Linked DNA regions of Alligator mississippiensis. The protein of the gene in region 2 binds, or shares a complex with, the protein of the main gene of each other region. Links are inferred from orthologs where the notes say so. Each region holds a gene or a part of one and is shown on either strand. Other genes may lie near its edges. The genes, in order: EME2 and MUS81.

Region 1 (7,830 bases), on a different chromosome or scaffold from region 2:
TGGGGAACAGAGAAAAGCTGGAGGGGACATGGACAACAGAACGTCCATTAAAGCACATTCACCTACAGAACCTGGCACTGGACCATTCTCCCTGAATCTCAGCATTCTCGGGGTGGCAAATCGGCCAATTGACTGCATATTTTTTGACTGGTCAAAGCTCAGTCAAATATTATAAGGCTTTCTGTGACTATAGCAACAAGAGATTCAAGTATTGTTTACAAAATTATCTGTTGAAACTGTTTCAATTATATGGGTCAACTGTTTGATAACATATACCTACTATAGAGGACTGGGGGGGGGACACGGGCTGTGTGTAGGGGGTGCACTGCAGACTTGGGGCCCTTAATTGAACTGACCTTCAGTACATGTTTTTAATTTTATGGGCAGTGGATTTTTTTTGTAGTTTTCTTGATAGAAATATTATTTTTTAATGTTCAAGGGAAAATTTGTGCTTTTTCTGTGTTTATTTTTCTGCAAAAGATTTAATTCTGAAATAAATGTATTCCAACATTATGTAAGAAATTACTGCTTTTTAAAGTAAGTAAACAAAATATTATTTGACAATTTTTGACCAATATTTGACTGGTCAATTGACCAAATTTATTTGACTAGTCAGATACCCAACCCTACAGCATTCTTTTGCTGCCTTCAAAACAGTAGCTGTTAAACTGACAAAATGTGTCTAATTCTACCTTTAGGGACTGATCCACATAGGGGATAGCCTTCTATAGCTATCACTTACTGCATAAGGCCAAGCAGCAGAAGACTGTGCTGTGAATCTAAAGGTTGCAACACTTTGTGTTTTTTAAATACTTTAAACACAATATTTATTTAAAACCTACAGTAAAAAGTAGGTTAAGTTGTTAATTAAATGCTTAAAAAGTGGGAAATTCCAAGATTAAGCATGCAACCTTATTTAATTTCCCCTGTGCGTATATGTATTTTGATAGTTAGACAATCACACACTTTGTTTTCCCACTCCATTATGTTACAGCATGCAAAGCCTTAGTCACAAGTCATCCTACTCTTCTGAGCAGAATTATTCCCTCAATTAAGAGTTGCAGGATCAAGCTCATACAACATATAGCACCAAAGAAATACAACCCATTCTGAGGAAGAGGACAATCAGCTAAACCACATTATGTTGCAGAAGAGTGGGAGCAGAGAGCAATCTGTAAAGCTGAGGTGAGTGAAAACCCTTAATTACACCAAGATAAACTTGGAAACTGGAATGGACAAAGCTCTGGCAAGCAAAGCAAAGAACAATTCTTCATGGATGTTAAGGTGGGCAACCTGCAGCTCATTCCTACATCTATTTCTGTGAGGATAATGACTACACATTTTAAGTTAGCTGCGCTGCTAAAGAGATTATTGAACTCTTTAGATGCTAGTACAAACAGACAGCACAGTTAGAAACATTTCAGAATAACTCAGTGTTACGTCCAAGCCACGGTACAGCTCTTTAAGTGCACTGAACAGAGCTTGATCTAAGACAACATTGTGGGAAATTAGCTGAGATTATCTGAAGAACTCCATCCTGTCAGAGAAAGAGAATAGGATTGAACAGAAAATGTGCAGCCCCAGATAACTAGCCAGGCATAATATTTCAGGAGTTAACATTTCTGGACACAGCTTACCTGTCCTCAGAAATGGACCTGCATGACAGGCAATCAGCTCTGAGCCTGTTTTCTGCCCCAGCTTTTTGATAGTTCGTGCCTTATGATGCTGAATTTACCAAATAGCATGGAGTGTCCATGCCTCATGGCCTGAGACTAAATATAGTTACCGTAATCTGAGTTCACATCCCTCTTTGCTAACCAAAGCACCACGGAAGCAAAGTGTGCTGTCAATTTTGATACGTGAATTTTAAGAAGAAATGTAATCCTTGCACATTTGTCATCACTAACACACCTAAGAAAGCTACTTCCAGCAAAGCTGACATTCATGAAGAGCTGATGATTATTACTATAATCAACCAATTTACACTTTTATAACGGAGCATGGTCCCCTTCCTTGGTGCTCTCTCTCACGTATTTTAATAAATGACTCCCTGTCCTCGCAGTGGCAGGACACTGACAGTGCTCTTGTCCCACATTTTCCTGGGGCCAGTTAGAGTGACCTTCATGTTTTTTGGCATTGTCCCCGACAGCCGGCAAGTGGATGGCTTATGCAGTTTTGTTTGGAATAGGACACATGCATAGGATGGTTTATGTAAGGATAACCTGGTCTTGAGCAGGACTAGGTGACCTCTGGAGGTCCCTTCCAACCATTTTCTAGGATTCTATAACATCTGCCAACTGATCACTTCCAAGTGCTTTCTACACGTTAATTAACCCCTTCCAGGCACATGCATGATGAAAAAAGTCCGACTTTTCCCCACTGACGCAGGGAGAGGCTCGAGCTCAGAGGAGCCCAAGTCCTTAGCGTCTGTGGCTGATCGGATTTGCCAACCGTAAAGGAATTTGGGACCGTCACCAGGGCAAGCACCTGCTCTTCAGCCCGAGCCCACGGCAGCCAGGAGCGCGCCTCGCCAAGGGGCGGCCACGAGGCCAGACGCCAGGACACGGAGCCGGGAGCGGGGCCCGGGGAAGGGCCCAGGGCCGCTGGCAGGTGGTCGAGGTGCCGAGGCGCTGCTCCCCGGGGCCCACCTGGGTGCACGCACACGGCCACGTACTTCAGACACTGCTCGGGCCGCAGGGCCTGGGCCGCCTCCCGGCGCTGCCGCTTCTCCAGCGCGTCCTGCGCCTTCTTCCGCGCCCTGTCCGCCCTCTGCTGCTCCCTGCCGAGCCCCGCTGCCCCAACCCCGACCCCAAGGCTCCTCGTCCTCCGCTGCCTGCTACGGCTCGGGCAGGGCGCGGGGTCCCGCGGGGGCGTCGGCACACGGAGGGACCCGCCCCCGCCCGGCGGCTCCTCGCTGTCCGAGTCCGAGATCTCCCAGGCGGCGGCAGCTCGTCTGGCTGCCCCGGCCGACCCGTGCCCCGCCATGGCCTCCCACGGCCGCCGGGACCCGAGCGCGGATCCCCCACTTCCACCCGGCGCAGCTGCTCATCCGCCCCGCGTGCACGTCCCGCCCCCACTTCCGCCCGGCGAGGCTGCCGCGCAGCCCCGCCCCGCCCCGCCCCGCGCCGAGCATGCGCCGCGAGCTGTCCGCGAAGCACTAGTTTCCTGTGACCTCCGGTAGTGGTGCTGCCGCCGCCAGAGCTGCTCCGCGCGTGGCCGGGCCGCCGCCGCTGCCATGGGCCGCAGGAAGCTGCACCGGCCGATCGCGGCCATGGCCAAGAAGATCCGCGAATACCGGGCGCTGAAGAACCGGCCGCACGACTCGCAGCGCTTCTCCCTGGACTATGAGACCATGACGCGGCCGTTCACCGGGAAGCGCCTGCCCGTGCTGGCCTGGGAGGACGTGCGCAACGAGACCCGCCTCTTCGCGCTGCTCGCCCGCCTGCCCTTCTTCGGCATCGGCCGCGTGGTCACGCGCAAGTCCTGGCTGTGGCAGTACGAAGAGCCCTGCTACTGGCTCATCACCAAGACCCAAGTGGATTACACGGCCGAGGTGAGTCCTCTCCCGGGCCACTCGTCGGTCCCGTGGGATCGCCTCGGCCGCTGCAGGATCTGGCTCCCAAATCCCCGCGGCACTAAGTCGGGGCCTTTCGGGTTTGGCTGCGCGTCATGTTGTCTCCCAGGGAGTCCTGCGCGCTGGAGAAGGCACCGCGGGGACCCTTGCCCTGGGAGCAGTGCCTGGCTGCAGCAGCGGGGCCCACCGGGTGCCGCCTGCCCTGCTCTTCAGAGCAGTGATTGTGGCACCTGGAACATGGATTGTAAAACAGATCCTGCAAACGCTGCTGCACTGTCTAGACCACTGTAAAATGAGCCTCTAAATGAGAGGCACAGAGCGATTTGGTCCCGGTGTGAGAATAGCACCTTAACAGGTGCTCAGGTTGCAGGCCTCGCCTCTCCCAAAGCAGGCTGCGCTCCTGCATTAGATGATGAAGCTGTTTAGAGAACTTGTCCTCTTTGTGAGTGGGAAGGCTTCTTTACCTAATCGCAGTGAATTCTCATGTGTTTTCTTTGCAGAATTTGGATCACGGAAAAGCCTGGGGATACCTGACATTCAGAGGTAATGAAGAACTTGCCCTATGTCTCTCAAGCAAGATTAGAGAGCATATTTCTGCCCCAAACCAGGGAATAAACCAGAAAGGAGAAAAGACAGTTGTGCTCTTACAACTCCTCACTCTCTCCTTCTCAGCCCACTAATTGGACAAAGGAAGAAAATCCCTCTGGCATGATTTTACAAGGAAGTGCAATAATTTATGTAATTTCAAGATAGTCTGGAAAAAGCCACAGAGATTGTACCATAGTGAACAATGTCCTGCTGGCAGGGAAATGGATGACTTCACAATTGGTTCTTTTCCGTCTTTGAATTTTATCATAGCTAATTTCAGTAGATAAACACATTTGATGTTTCTGCTCAGATGGATAGCAGTGTTATTTGCAGTATCATCACTGGGGTACCGAAGTAATATTTCATTGTGATCAATGGGGAAATTCTCTTCTCTCCATGCTCTTTTAAATCATGTATGGAGTGCATCTTTTATCAGTTAAGCTTGTGCTTCAATACTGTCGCATTGTTCATTTGAGGGTCTCACAATGTTTCTCTTAAACATTATTAAACTCCCCAACATTTCTGCAGAGTGGAGAAGTTGAGGAGCTAGATGTCCGAGGAAGTCACCTGCAAAGTCAGGACTGCAACATGGTTGCCCTGTCAGTTAGTTCCCCTTGCTTCTTGTTTATACCACCCGGAATGAGAGGAGAGTATGCTAGTGGTAGATATAGTGTAAGTGGCAAAATACCCAATGCCATTCCCAGCTGGAGACTCCTCTACATGCTTATATAGTTTGACGGTGTTAATTACTAATTCATTATTATCTTCCCTCAGGCAAGACAGAAAATGAAGTAAAAGAGATTGATAAGGTCATGTACCATGACTGGCGTTTGGTGCCCAAACATGAGGAAGAGGACTTCAAGAAATTTACCCCGGTGCCAGAGGAAACCATCCGGTATGTGCCGTATCCACCTCTGCTCCGAGCCATGATCTTTGCTCAGAGGCAGAAGGAAGGAAAACCGAACACGGAGGAGCCGATGCTTGATCTGGAAAGAGGGATCTCCAGAACAGACTCCATTGAAAATGTCAAGAGAACTGAAGGGACACCAGTGTGAAGGTAGTGTTGAGTATGGTGCCCCCTAGGTCTCTTAATCGCCAACTGATCTCCTTAATGAAGAAAATGATTCCATAAGCCACAGGCATGTTTCAGGTTTATCCAGTGTTATCACCTCAGTTTCTCTTCCTATTCCTGGCACATGCCAGTGTACACATTTCTTACATGTATTTGGAAAGATGCAGACATGCTTAGGATTCTTGGTAATCTCTGTAGAGCATCTTCTCTGTTTTTCTCTGCATTTGTTTTACAGCTCCTATCCTCTGGGCCCTATGACTGGGCAAAATTCCCTTTAGAGCCCACTTCTGAGAATTAAAAAAGGACACTGTCAAGTTGATTAGATCCCCAAACCAATGTAAAAGCACAGACAAGGGCCTATAAGAAGTCACCATCTTGCTCCACAGAGTGTGCTCCTGCATGTATGAGTCTTCCCATCTGATTTTTCCTGCAGCACAGACATGATGTTGGCTACAAATGTTCAACTCAGGATCCTTAAAATTCTGGTTCATTAGGCAGATTGAAACACTGTAATGAAGTCAAATCATAACCTTGGGGCTGGTCTCCTCTCACACACACACACTAGTGCGCTACAAATGTTTGTTGTGGGGGGCACCAGAGTTGGGTATACCTATCCTACAAAGCGCTGGAGTCTGCTATCGATGGCCAGTCAAGGCTTCTTGCAGCGTGGTGTTATCCTCCAGAAGGGGGTCGCCAGCTGGTCCTTCTGCCTGGACAGGTTGGGTGCTGGACGAGTTGGAGATCAAGAGGGTGCCCCTGAGGGTCACTTTTCACTGCTTTTTATCTGTCCTTGGCAGACTTTGGTGACTCCCCAGTTTTCAGGTTTGCCCAATTCAGGGGTTGTTGACCCTCGTGGGACTTCCCCTCCCCAGTGACTACTGGATGGCACCTGTCAGCCCCAGGGGTCTTCCGCATGTACGTGCAGGTTTGGGAGTCCGTTGATGAATTTTGATTAATTTACCGCTGTCATAAATAGGGCTCTGGGAGCAGTCGATCTGGAGATATTCAGCCCCAAAAGTTGGTCCCCGGTGTCGATTAACTCAGACGGGGCTTCTAGCCCTTGAACAGTGAAGTTTAGATAATTCCTGTTTGCTACACTGTCTCCTATTGATTTCTTCTGTTGCTTGATCTGGGGTGTAGGTATTAATTACCACTTGTTACTGAAGCCTGCTACAGAGTTACGCATTCAATCACTGATTCACTTGTTCTTTCAGGGGCCCTGCCTGATACAGGGAAGCCCAGGTTTGATTCCTGCCCTTGTTAACATTGTTACAGTGTATAACTTACTTCTAAAAACTAAAACACATTTAATTAAAAGGTGAAGAGTATAAAATATAAGCTATGAGAGTAATGCCATGGCAAACAAATAGATAAAAATACCAAAATACAAGGGGAGATATAAAATGCACACATACAAACTTTAAAACACAATTCTTTATCTTATAGTGAAAGAAAGAGGAAGGAAAAAGAGGTAGAAGAGGAGAAACATATCCAAAGAGGGGAAAGCAAATGCAGGCAAGAGGAAAAGGGGGCTTTCTGCTACAATGAGAAAACAAGTTTGGTTCTCTTTTGGCTTGTTAGTCAGACCATCAAAACGGTTAAACTAAGTGCGAGCTGCAAAAGGTAGTCTCACCAGCTGAGGGCACTGCTTCAGTTGCATCTCTGTCAAACCCACTGGGTCACCCTATGATGGGGATGGGCAAGAAGGAAGGATCCCACTTGGTCTTTCAGATCCCAGGCTGTGTTGGTATTTGGCGGGGGAGGAGGGGAGACCTCTTTGTGTTAACAGAATATAAGTGTATTTGCTCTTATTCCTGCGGAAGTCATTGCCAAAGAGTCATGAGAGGACTTTTGTCACGTGGGCCTGTGAAAAGCAAAAGTGTGTCAGTGAGTCCTCACCCCTTGGGCTGTGCCACTGTCCCCTCCCTGGCACCTCAGCCACAATCATGGTGCTCAGCATGGACGAGGGAGGGTGAGGGGTAGGTTCAAGTGAGCTGAGATGTGCAGGGCCCTGGTCACTCCCCACAATAACTAAGGTGACCCAAAGAACAGCAGTCCCAGGCCATGACTCGGTTTCCCTGCTGAGCTGGCCAGGAGCTGCTTACCTCGGAGGTGGCGGCAGCACACAGACATCTGGACCTGGATGGACGGTATAAAAAGCCTCCAGGGAGGGTCCGGGCCCTGGCGGGGGAGCTGTGCGCAGCTCGGGCCCACGTCTCTGCCTCACCCTGGCGGGAGCCGGGAACTTACCTCGAGCCATGAGGGAGCTGGCTTGTGAGGGCGGGGCCCGAGGCCCCCCTGCCCGCCCCTGCTGGGTGCCGCGCCCCGCCGCTGCAGCTTGCCTTGATCCCGCGGGGCGTCCCTGGCAGCGGAGCCCGGGGCGGGGCGGGGCGGGACCGCCATAATGCGGCGGCTGCTCTGTTACGAGGGAGACGTTTGCGCGCGCTCCGCTGCCTGCGCCCCGGCCGCCTCCCGCCATGATCTGCCTCGTGCTGGCGCTGTTCGCCCACGTCTTCCAGCCCGGTGAGTGCGGCGCGGCGCGGCCCGGCTGCGGGAGCGCGGGGCGAGGCGGCCCCGGCCAAGCCGCAGCGCGATC
Region 2 (7,333 bases):
GCGGCGCCTTGGGGGCCGCTTCCGGTCCCTTCCTCCCTCGGGGGCGTCTGTCGGGGGGCATTTCCGGTGCCTTTTCCTGGTGGCGCCTTCAGCAGGGGGTCACTTCTGGTCCCCCTTCCCTGTGGGTCTGGCAGGGCCATACAGGGGCCCCCATAGGGTAGTGGGGTACCCCAACCTCCTGCCCCCCACCCCATGCAGGGTATAGCTTGTCGGGGGCTTCAGCCCCTTCTCCCCTCTAGCTGTGGGGACCAGCTCCCCTTTGGGGGGTGGGGGCAGGCTCCCTTCCACGCCGCCCAGTGATGGGGCTGGGGGCTGCTGGATACCTCTGTGGGAGTGCTGGGCCCTGCTGCCATGTTAGTGCCCCCCATGCTGATCCCCCCCCCTCCCCCATGTGGGGGCTGTGCCCAGGTGTACCCCACATCTTGGGGCACCCTGTGGGGGTGGGGCCAGACTCCTGGGAGGGGGCAGGGGGGTGTCCTCAGCTACAGCAGCACCTGCTTTCCTTTCCCCCCCCCCCACCCATGTGGGGTCAGATCATGAAGCTTGGGTGTTCACTGGCTTGTGAATAGGGCCATGGGGGGGCATCAGCTGCCTTTTGGGGAGGGAGGAGCAGAGCTGGGAGGGGTCAGGGGCTAGTCCTGGCGGCAGGTACTGGGAGGAGGAAGGTTGGGCAGGGTGCAGGTGGAAGAGAGCAGTGCTGGGGCAGGGGGGTCTGTGCTAGGGGCAGGGCCATGTGCCCGGGTTTCCGGTGCAGGCTTCCACTTCCTCCTTGCTCAAAATGTGGCGTCGGCATTGCCCCATGTGCCCTTGGGGTGGGGGGACGTGTTCCCCACATCCTGCCCCCCCCCCCACCTAAGCTACTGGAGCAGGTCCCTGCCCCCTCCCCATATTGCTCTGCTCTACTGGGGGGGCGTGGCCAAATGCAGGCAGAGCCATAGGGGCAGAGGGCACCCCCCAAGGGTCCGGCCTGGTACTGAGGGCTGGAAGGGACCTTCCTCTTACCCTCTGCCCCCTAGGGGAGATTTCCAGTGCACCCCCTGAACTGGGGTTGGCTGGGGGAGCATGCACCCCTTGTCCCACCCCCAGGAATTAGGCCTGTTCTATCAGATGTGGGGGGAGGGGTCCCTGTGCCCCCACCCCAGGTGTCAGACATGACAGTGTGGTACCCAGGGGGTGGATGCCAGTGCTCCAGGCATTGGGTATAGTGATGTCAGATGGTGGGGTGGTTTCCCGTTGCCCCCAGGGTGCCAGGTGTGGCAGTGTGAGCGGGGGGGGCCCTGCACCCTCTGACTCATGTGCATCCCCACCCCCCAGGCATCCGGTGTGGCAGTGTCGGATGGGGTGATCAAGGTGTTCAATGAGATGAAGGTGCGCAAAGCATCACCGGGGCCGGCCGAGCTGAGCCAGCGCAAGAAGGCTGTGCTCTTCTGCCTGAGCGAGGACCAGCGCGCCATCGTGCTGGAGCCTGGCAAAGAGGTGCTTGTGGGCGACGCAGTCCCCGACCCCTATGCTGCCTTCGTGGCCCTGCTGCCTGAGCGTGACTGCCGCTATGCTCTCTACGATGCCACCTACGAGACCCGTGAGACCAAGAAGGAGGACCTGGTCTTCATCTTCTGGTGAGATGATGCTCCTGGGGACTTCCTGTGGGCCCCTATAAGCTTTGTTGTCATCTTCTGGGGGGCCCCACAGCCCCTACAGCAGCCCCCACAGCCAGACCAAGACCTAGTCTTCAATGTCTTCATCCCAACCAAAACACCACAGCGTGGAGGACCTGATGAGAGGGTGTCCCCCACCCCCAGCATCCCTATAGCCCTCTACAGCCTGACATAACCCCCCAGGCCAGCTGGCCACAATGTGGAGGGCTTGGTCTTCATCTTTTGGGGTGACCATGCTGTCCCCTATAAGTCTCCTGCCCCAGCAAGGAGGATGGCCTAGGCTTCATCTTCTGCTGAGCTGGGTCCCCATGCCCCCCCACCTCCTAAAGCCTGGTTTCCACAGCTAGGAGGAGACCTTGGTTATGTTTAGGGGTGAGATTTCCAGGCCCCCCCCCCTTAACCATCACAGCTCCCCTGCCCAGGAGCTGGGAGAGCTTGGCCTTCATCAAGGGAGGTGACACCCCACCTAAACCATGCCCCCTCCCCCACACAGAAGACCTGTTTATTGTCTGCCCCCCACACTGAGGGGGGGGGGGCCCTCAGCCCCCTCATCTCTTGGTAGGGGCCACCTAGAAGTGCCCCATGTAGCCCTGGCCTGTCCAGCCCTGGTACCCCTGAGATTCCTCTGCCAGCTACTTTCGGAGGGGTGCGCTGGGTCTATTCCACCATGTAAGGCCCCTCTTGCCCCTGGTGCACTGTCTCCAAGTGGCCCCCAGTGTAACCTGCAGGCCCCACCCATTCCTTGGGGTCCTACCCCTTCCATCAGGTGAGGGACATAGTCTTGCACAACTAGCCACACCCCCAGTGCCAGGGTAGGGGGGTGGTTTAAAGGGGCTTCCTGGGATGGGATTGGGGGGGGGGAGGGGCTGTAGGTCTCATCCCTGGGGGACCCAGCAGGTATTTGGGGAGGGAACCCAAGTGTCCAGGCTGGTGTGACCCCTCTTTTTTTTCCCCCCCCTCTCCTTTGTGGCAGGGCTCCTGAGTGTGCCCCCTTGAAGAGCAAAATGATCTATGCCAGCTCCAAGGATGCCATCAAGAAGAAGCTGACAGGTGAGTTGGAGGGAGTGGGGGGAGGGGCAGGTAGTCTTGGGGTGGGGGGTAGAGCTGGTTGGAGCAAGGGGACTGGGAGCCTAGACACCTGGGTTCTTTGTGGGGGGTGTGCATGCCTGGGTCCTCTGGGAGAGGAGTGGGGGTTGAGAGGGGTGGGGAGGGAGGGCTGGGGGGTGAGAGCAGGGGCACTGGCAGCCCAGATGCCGGGTTCTTTTCCCCCCAGATCTAACAGGGGAGTGGTGCCAGGGAGCATGAGGAGCCTGGATACCTGGGCTCCCTCACTTCCCCGTTTTCCCCCTCACCTCCTACGCAGGCATCAAGCACGAGCTGCAGGCCAACTCCTTCGAGGAGGTGAAGGACCGGTGCACGCTGGCCGAGAAGTTGGGGGGCAGCTCTGTCGTCAGCTTGGAGGGGAAGCCTGTGTGAGCCCCCATGCCCTGCCCCACCACCAGTCTGGCCCTTCCCGCTGGGGGGAAGGGCTGCTCCTGCTGTGTCCGACTCCCAGTCTCTCTCTGCAGGGGCGGGGCCTTTGCCAAACCCCTCAAGTGCCCCCCCTTCCCCCTATCTGTCCCAGGTGGGGTTTCCTCCCAGCTACTCTAGTGTCAAGGGACCAGCCCTCAGCTCTGTCTACTTCACATTCCTCCCCCCCCCCCAAGCTGGTGAACCCAGCAGTCCTGCCTATCCTAGCCCCCTTCCAGCCCCTTTTCCCACCCTAACTTACTCCCCTCCCCCTGCAGCCTAGGGTGGAGTAGTTCCAGCCAGGGGATAGGGGTACTTCTGCCCCCAAGCCCCCATTACAGCCTGGGACTGAATTGGGTCCAGGCTACTCTGTCCTAGGCTCTGGGGGGAGGGGTCCTGCCTCCCTGTCCCAGCCTGACAGAGCTGTGCCCCCCCCCCCCCCCTCCCCACAACAGGGACCCCTTCCCCTAGTGCAGGGGAGTGTTTTCCCCCCCCCCCCCCCCCCTGCACTCCAGGGACCAGCTCCTCCCTCCCCTGCTCAGCTAGAGCCCCCAGGAGTCCGGGCTGGTCCTAGGCGCCCCGCCCCCCCCCATTGTCTAGCACCCCCGCCCCCTCCAAAGTTGCTGTTTCTGGTGTGTGTGAATCCCCTTTTTTAATGGTTTTTTGGAAGGATTTTATCCCTGCCCCCCACTGCCAAGCGTCGGTGGTGTCGTGGCTTCCTGCCTGTCCCCTGCTGGGGGAGGGGGAACGTGGCCCCCTTGGCTCCCCCTGTGCCCTAATAAACCCCTGTACTGCTACCGGCCCGTGTGCTTCTTGGAGGGGATGGGGGGGGTGGTATGCACCTGGAGGGGTATAAACACGGGGCTGGGTGCATGGAGGGGGGAGGAGACCCCGGGTGTCCAGGGGGGAGGGCAGCATGGGGTCTGAGTGGCCCTGGCCCGGGACCCCCACCCCGAAGATCCCAGGTGCCCGGGGGGGACAGAGGCAGGGCCCAGCCATGCAGCCGCGCCCCTGGAGCTGGCGCGCCCCCCGCCCTCATGAATGTGAATGAGGGTCCATGAACATGAATGAGCCGGGTTGCGGGGGGAGGAGAGACGGGGCTGGCGACACTCTCCCCGCCCGCCTCGTCTCTATGGTCCGAGCCCGGAAGAGCGCGGCGGCCGCTTCCGGTTCAGGGCGGGCGGGCGCCCCCCACCGGGGCGGGCGATGGCGGCGCGGCTGGGCAGGAAGCGGCCGGTGCCGGCGCGGCCCAACGCGGCGCTGGAGCGCTGCCTGCGGGCGTGGCGGGACGAGGCGGCGGCGCGGGGCAGCAAGGCGCGCTTCGCTTACGAGCGGGTGAGCGGAGCGGGGCGGGCGGGGGCCCGGGGCGCCGGGGGGGATCCAGGCGTCCGGGCTGACCCCGCCCGCTCCGCCCCGCCCCCAGGCGCTGGTGTCGCTGCGCCGCTACCCCCTGCCCCTGCGCAGCGGCCGGGAGGCCTCGATCCTGCAGCACTTCGGGCCCGGGCTCTGCCGCCGCCTCGACCAGCACCTGCGCGGTACGGGGGGCAGCACGGGCGGGGGGCGGGGGGCGGGCACAGGAGAGGGGGCGGGGCCAGGCGGTTCGCCCCCCTCATCCCCTCCCGCCGCAGGTGAGGACGCCCCCATGGAGGCCGCGGAGGGCCCCGCCCCCCCTCCCGTCCCGGAGCCGCAGGGCCCCGCCCCCCCCACCAGTGCTGGGGACCCCCCGCCGCCCCCCCCGCAGGTGAGTGGTCTCCTTCCAGCGGGGGTGGGGGCGGGGAGCTGCACCTCGGGGGGTGCGGACACGCGGGTCGGCTTCCTTCCCCCTGTGGGGGCGTGTCTGTGGGCGGGGCCTGAGCCCAGAGGGGTGGGGCTGACTCCTGGCTGTGCCCCGCCCCCCTGCCTAGAAGCGGCCACGCGCCCCCCGGGGGTACCTCCCGGGCCCCCGCTCCGGGGGACATGCCTTGCTGCTGGCGCTGTACAAGGAGAGGCAGGTATGCGCGGGGTGCCTGGAGGGGTGGCAGGGGGCCTGCACATTTGGGTTCCCCGGGGTGGGACGGGGCTGGGATCCTGGACCCCTGGGAGGGGAGGGGGATGCAGGGGGGCTGGGAGCCCCGATGCCTGGGTTCTCAGGGAGGGGAGCCTGGACTCCTGGCCCCCCCCATTGTGCCCCACAGACCCCGGGCGGGCGCGGGGCCCTGACGAAGGCGGAGCTGCAGCGGGCGGCCCAGCCGCTGTGCGACCAGCCCTTGGCTCCGGTGAGTGCAGCCCTCGGTCCTCCCTCGAATCCCCCTTCTGTTGCCACCATTAGACTCCAGACTCCACGTCCGCCGTCTACCTGGTGCTTCTCCACTCCCCCCTCTCCCAGCCCCCTGTGGCATCCCAGGCTCTGGCCCAGTCTGTCATCACTAGGCTTAAAACCACCGCCGGCACTTCAGGGGCCCCAGCCGTGCCCTTCCCCTCCGCCCACCGCACCTGCACTGCTCTGAACTGCACAGGCTCTGCGTGGCTCCTACCCGCCTCTCAATGCTAGCTGGCACTGTTAGGTCCCAGAGTTAAGTTAACGCCCTGTACCTGCGACTACCTCAAGGACCCACCCGGGCATCCCAAGCCGCACAGGCTCTGGAGTGCTCCCTTTTCTCCCTTAAAATCAGTCACCTGTTATTAGGCTTCAGAGTTCACACATGATCACTGGGACTTGCACCGAGGGAACCCCCCATAGCCCTGCCCCCACCTGCACCTCTGACTTGCCCCAGCCCAGCCCCGCAGGCTCAGGGGGCCTCCCTCACTTCCTCAAACTATGTTGCTTCATTAGTTTCCAGAGTCAACATGCCCAAATCTCTCATGGCCAGCAAATGGGGGTCGCTGCAGCCCTGCCCTCCCCCCGCCCTGCAATCCTGGCCCCACCCCCACAGGGGCTCCCCCACCAGGCCGGTCTGCCTTCATTAGCTTCCAGAGTCATTACGACATCGCTCACTGCCAGGCCTGAGCAGTCGTGGTCCCTGCGTCTCTGCCCCTAGCCCTGGACCCCACCAGACCTCTGGGGTATCATGGGGTTTGTGTTGCAGACCGGGGGCCGGAGTGGGGCTTGGGCAACTGTGAGCACCCTCATCCGCCGCAACCTCGTCCTCAAGGCTGGTGTGCCACCCAGGTGGGTGCCAGGAGCCCAGGGGATTGTGGGACACTGGGGGATTGGGGACAGGATTTATGGGACACTGGCAGGACATTACGGGACATTAGTGGTATAGGATTAGGCGGGGGGGGGGGACCAGGAAGGGGAGGTATCCCAAGAACAGTGGGATGATGGCTGTCCCAGTGGCCTAGGATGGGGGGGCGTGGTCTGCAGAGGATTATGGGATGCTGGGGGTCACTGGCAAGTTGGGAGAGTCCACAAAGGATTATGGGACACTGCAGGTCAGGGTGGAGTTGGACTGGGTGCCCCAGAGTATTATGGGACTCTGGGGATCCTGATGTGCTTGGTTGGGGGGTGGGGGCGATTTGCAGGGGGTTGTGGGATGCTTGGGCTCACAATAGGGCCAGGAGGGGGAGCTTCCGGGGATTATGTGCCTGTGGGGGTCCCAGTGGGTTGGGGGACTCTGCAGAGGATTATGGGATGCTGGGGGGACTGGGGTGTGAATCTGGGGATCATGGGACTGTGGGACTAGACTGGCCTCATCCCCTCCCAGGTACTCACTGACCCCCCAGGGGCTGGAGCTGGCCCAGAGGCTGGTGGGGGGCCCTGAGACCCAGACCCCCCTGGACTCCGAGGATGAGGAGGAGAACCAACCCCCAGAGCCCGTCTGGTGAGTGCAGCTGTGCCTGGACGCCTGAGGTCCCTCCAGCTCCCCCCCAGAGCATGATGGGGCGAGCCGGGGGCCCGAACTCCTGGGTTCTCCCAGCTGCGGGAAGGGAGTGGGGTTGGGGGTTAGATCATAGGACACTGGGCGCCTCGGGTGCCTGGGTTCTGCAGCCCGTGTCACTACCCACCCCTCACCCCCTTCTCCCCCCAGCCTGACGGAGGCCCCAGGGGAGCCGGCCCCCGAGATCATCCTGCGCCCTGGGGAGTTTGACATTGTCCTCTGCGTGGACTTTATTGAGACTACGGGGTGTGTGGGGGACATGAGGTTGGGTAAGGGGGGTGGGGCTGTGGGTTTGGGGAAGACTGGGGAGGT

Evidence for each region.
Region 1: the proteins of MUS81 (region 2) and EME2 are in contact, whole or in part, in a crystal structure (PDB 7F6L), measured with the Homo sapiens proteins. The link is inferred for Alligator mississippiensis from reciprocal best matches to the Homo sapiens genes MUS81 and EME2. Residues at the interface, in NP_079404.3 of Homo sapiens: His330, Glu351, Phe354, Lys357, Arg358, Arg363, Val365, Glu381, Leu385, Gln386, Thr389, Asn390, Gln392, Val393, Ile394, Phe398, Lys400, Arg401, Tyr411, Leu414, Leu415, Arg417, Gly418, Leu419, Arg421, Leu422, Pro447, Ile464, Lys467, Ala468; in NP_001244299.1 of Homo sapiens: Glu140, Arg177, His179, Glu220, Glu221, Val224, Leu225, Gln227, Leu228, Trp229, Asn231, Leu232, Asp233, Leu235, Arg245, His246, Ala249, Val250, Lys252, Ala253, Leu254, Gln256, Tyr257, Lys260, Gln261, Glu264, Gln266, Phe268, Phe270, Cys271.

Annotation. Positions count from the first base shown.
Region 1 is NC_081836.1:29,552,142-29,559,971, reverse strand, and holds the start of EME2 (probable crossover junction endonuclease EME2), read right to left. Parts: upstream 3,064-7,830; 5' UTR 2,986-3,063; coding exon 2,649-2,985; intron 1-2,648. Other genes in the region: MRPS34 (small ribosomal subunit protein mS34), read left to right, coding at 3,236-3,553, 4,075-4,117, 4,937-5,217; NME3 (nucleoside diphosphate kinase 3), read left to right, coding at 7,712-7,757. UniProt on the Homo sapiens protein: Non-catalytic subunit of the structure-specific, heterodimeric DNA endonuclease MUS81-EME2 which is involved in the maintenance of genome stability. In the complex, EME2 is required for DNA cleavage, participating in DNA recognition and bending.
Region 2 is NC_081838.1:5,437,798-5,445,130, forward strand, and holds the start of MUS81 (crossover junction endonuclease MUS81), read left to right. Parts: upstream 1-4,082; 5' UTR 4,083-4,370; coding exon 4,371-4,499; intron 4,500-4,587; coding exon 4,588-4,699; intron 4,700-4,792; coding exon 4,793-4,905; intron 4,906-5,068; coding exon 5,069-5,155; intron 5,156-5,338; coding exon 5,339-5,419; intron 5,420-6,229; coding exon 6,230-6,312; intron 6,313-6,847; coding exon 6,848-6,964; intron 6,965-7,171; coding exon 7,172-7,267; intron 7,268-7,333. Other genes in the region: cofilin-1, read left to right, coding at 1,315-1,616, 2,629-2,705, 3,019-3,131. UniProt on the Homo sapiens protein: Catalytic subunit of two functionally distinct, structure-specific, heterodimeric DNA endonucleases MUS81-EME1 and MUS81-EME2 that are involved in the maintenance of genome stability.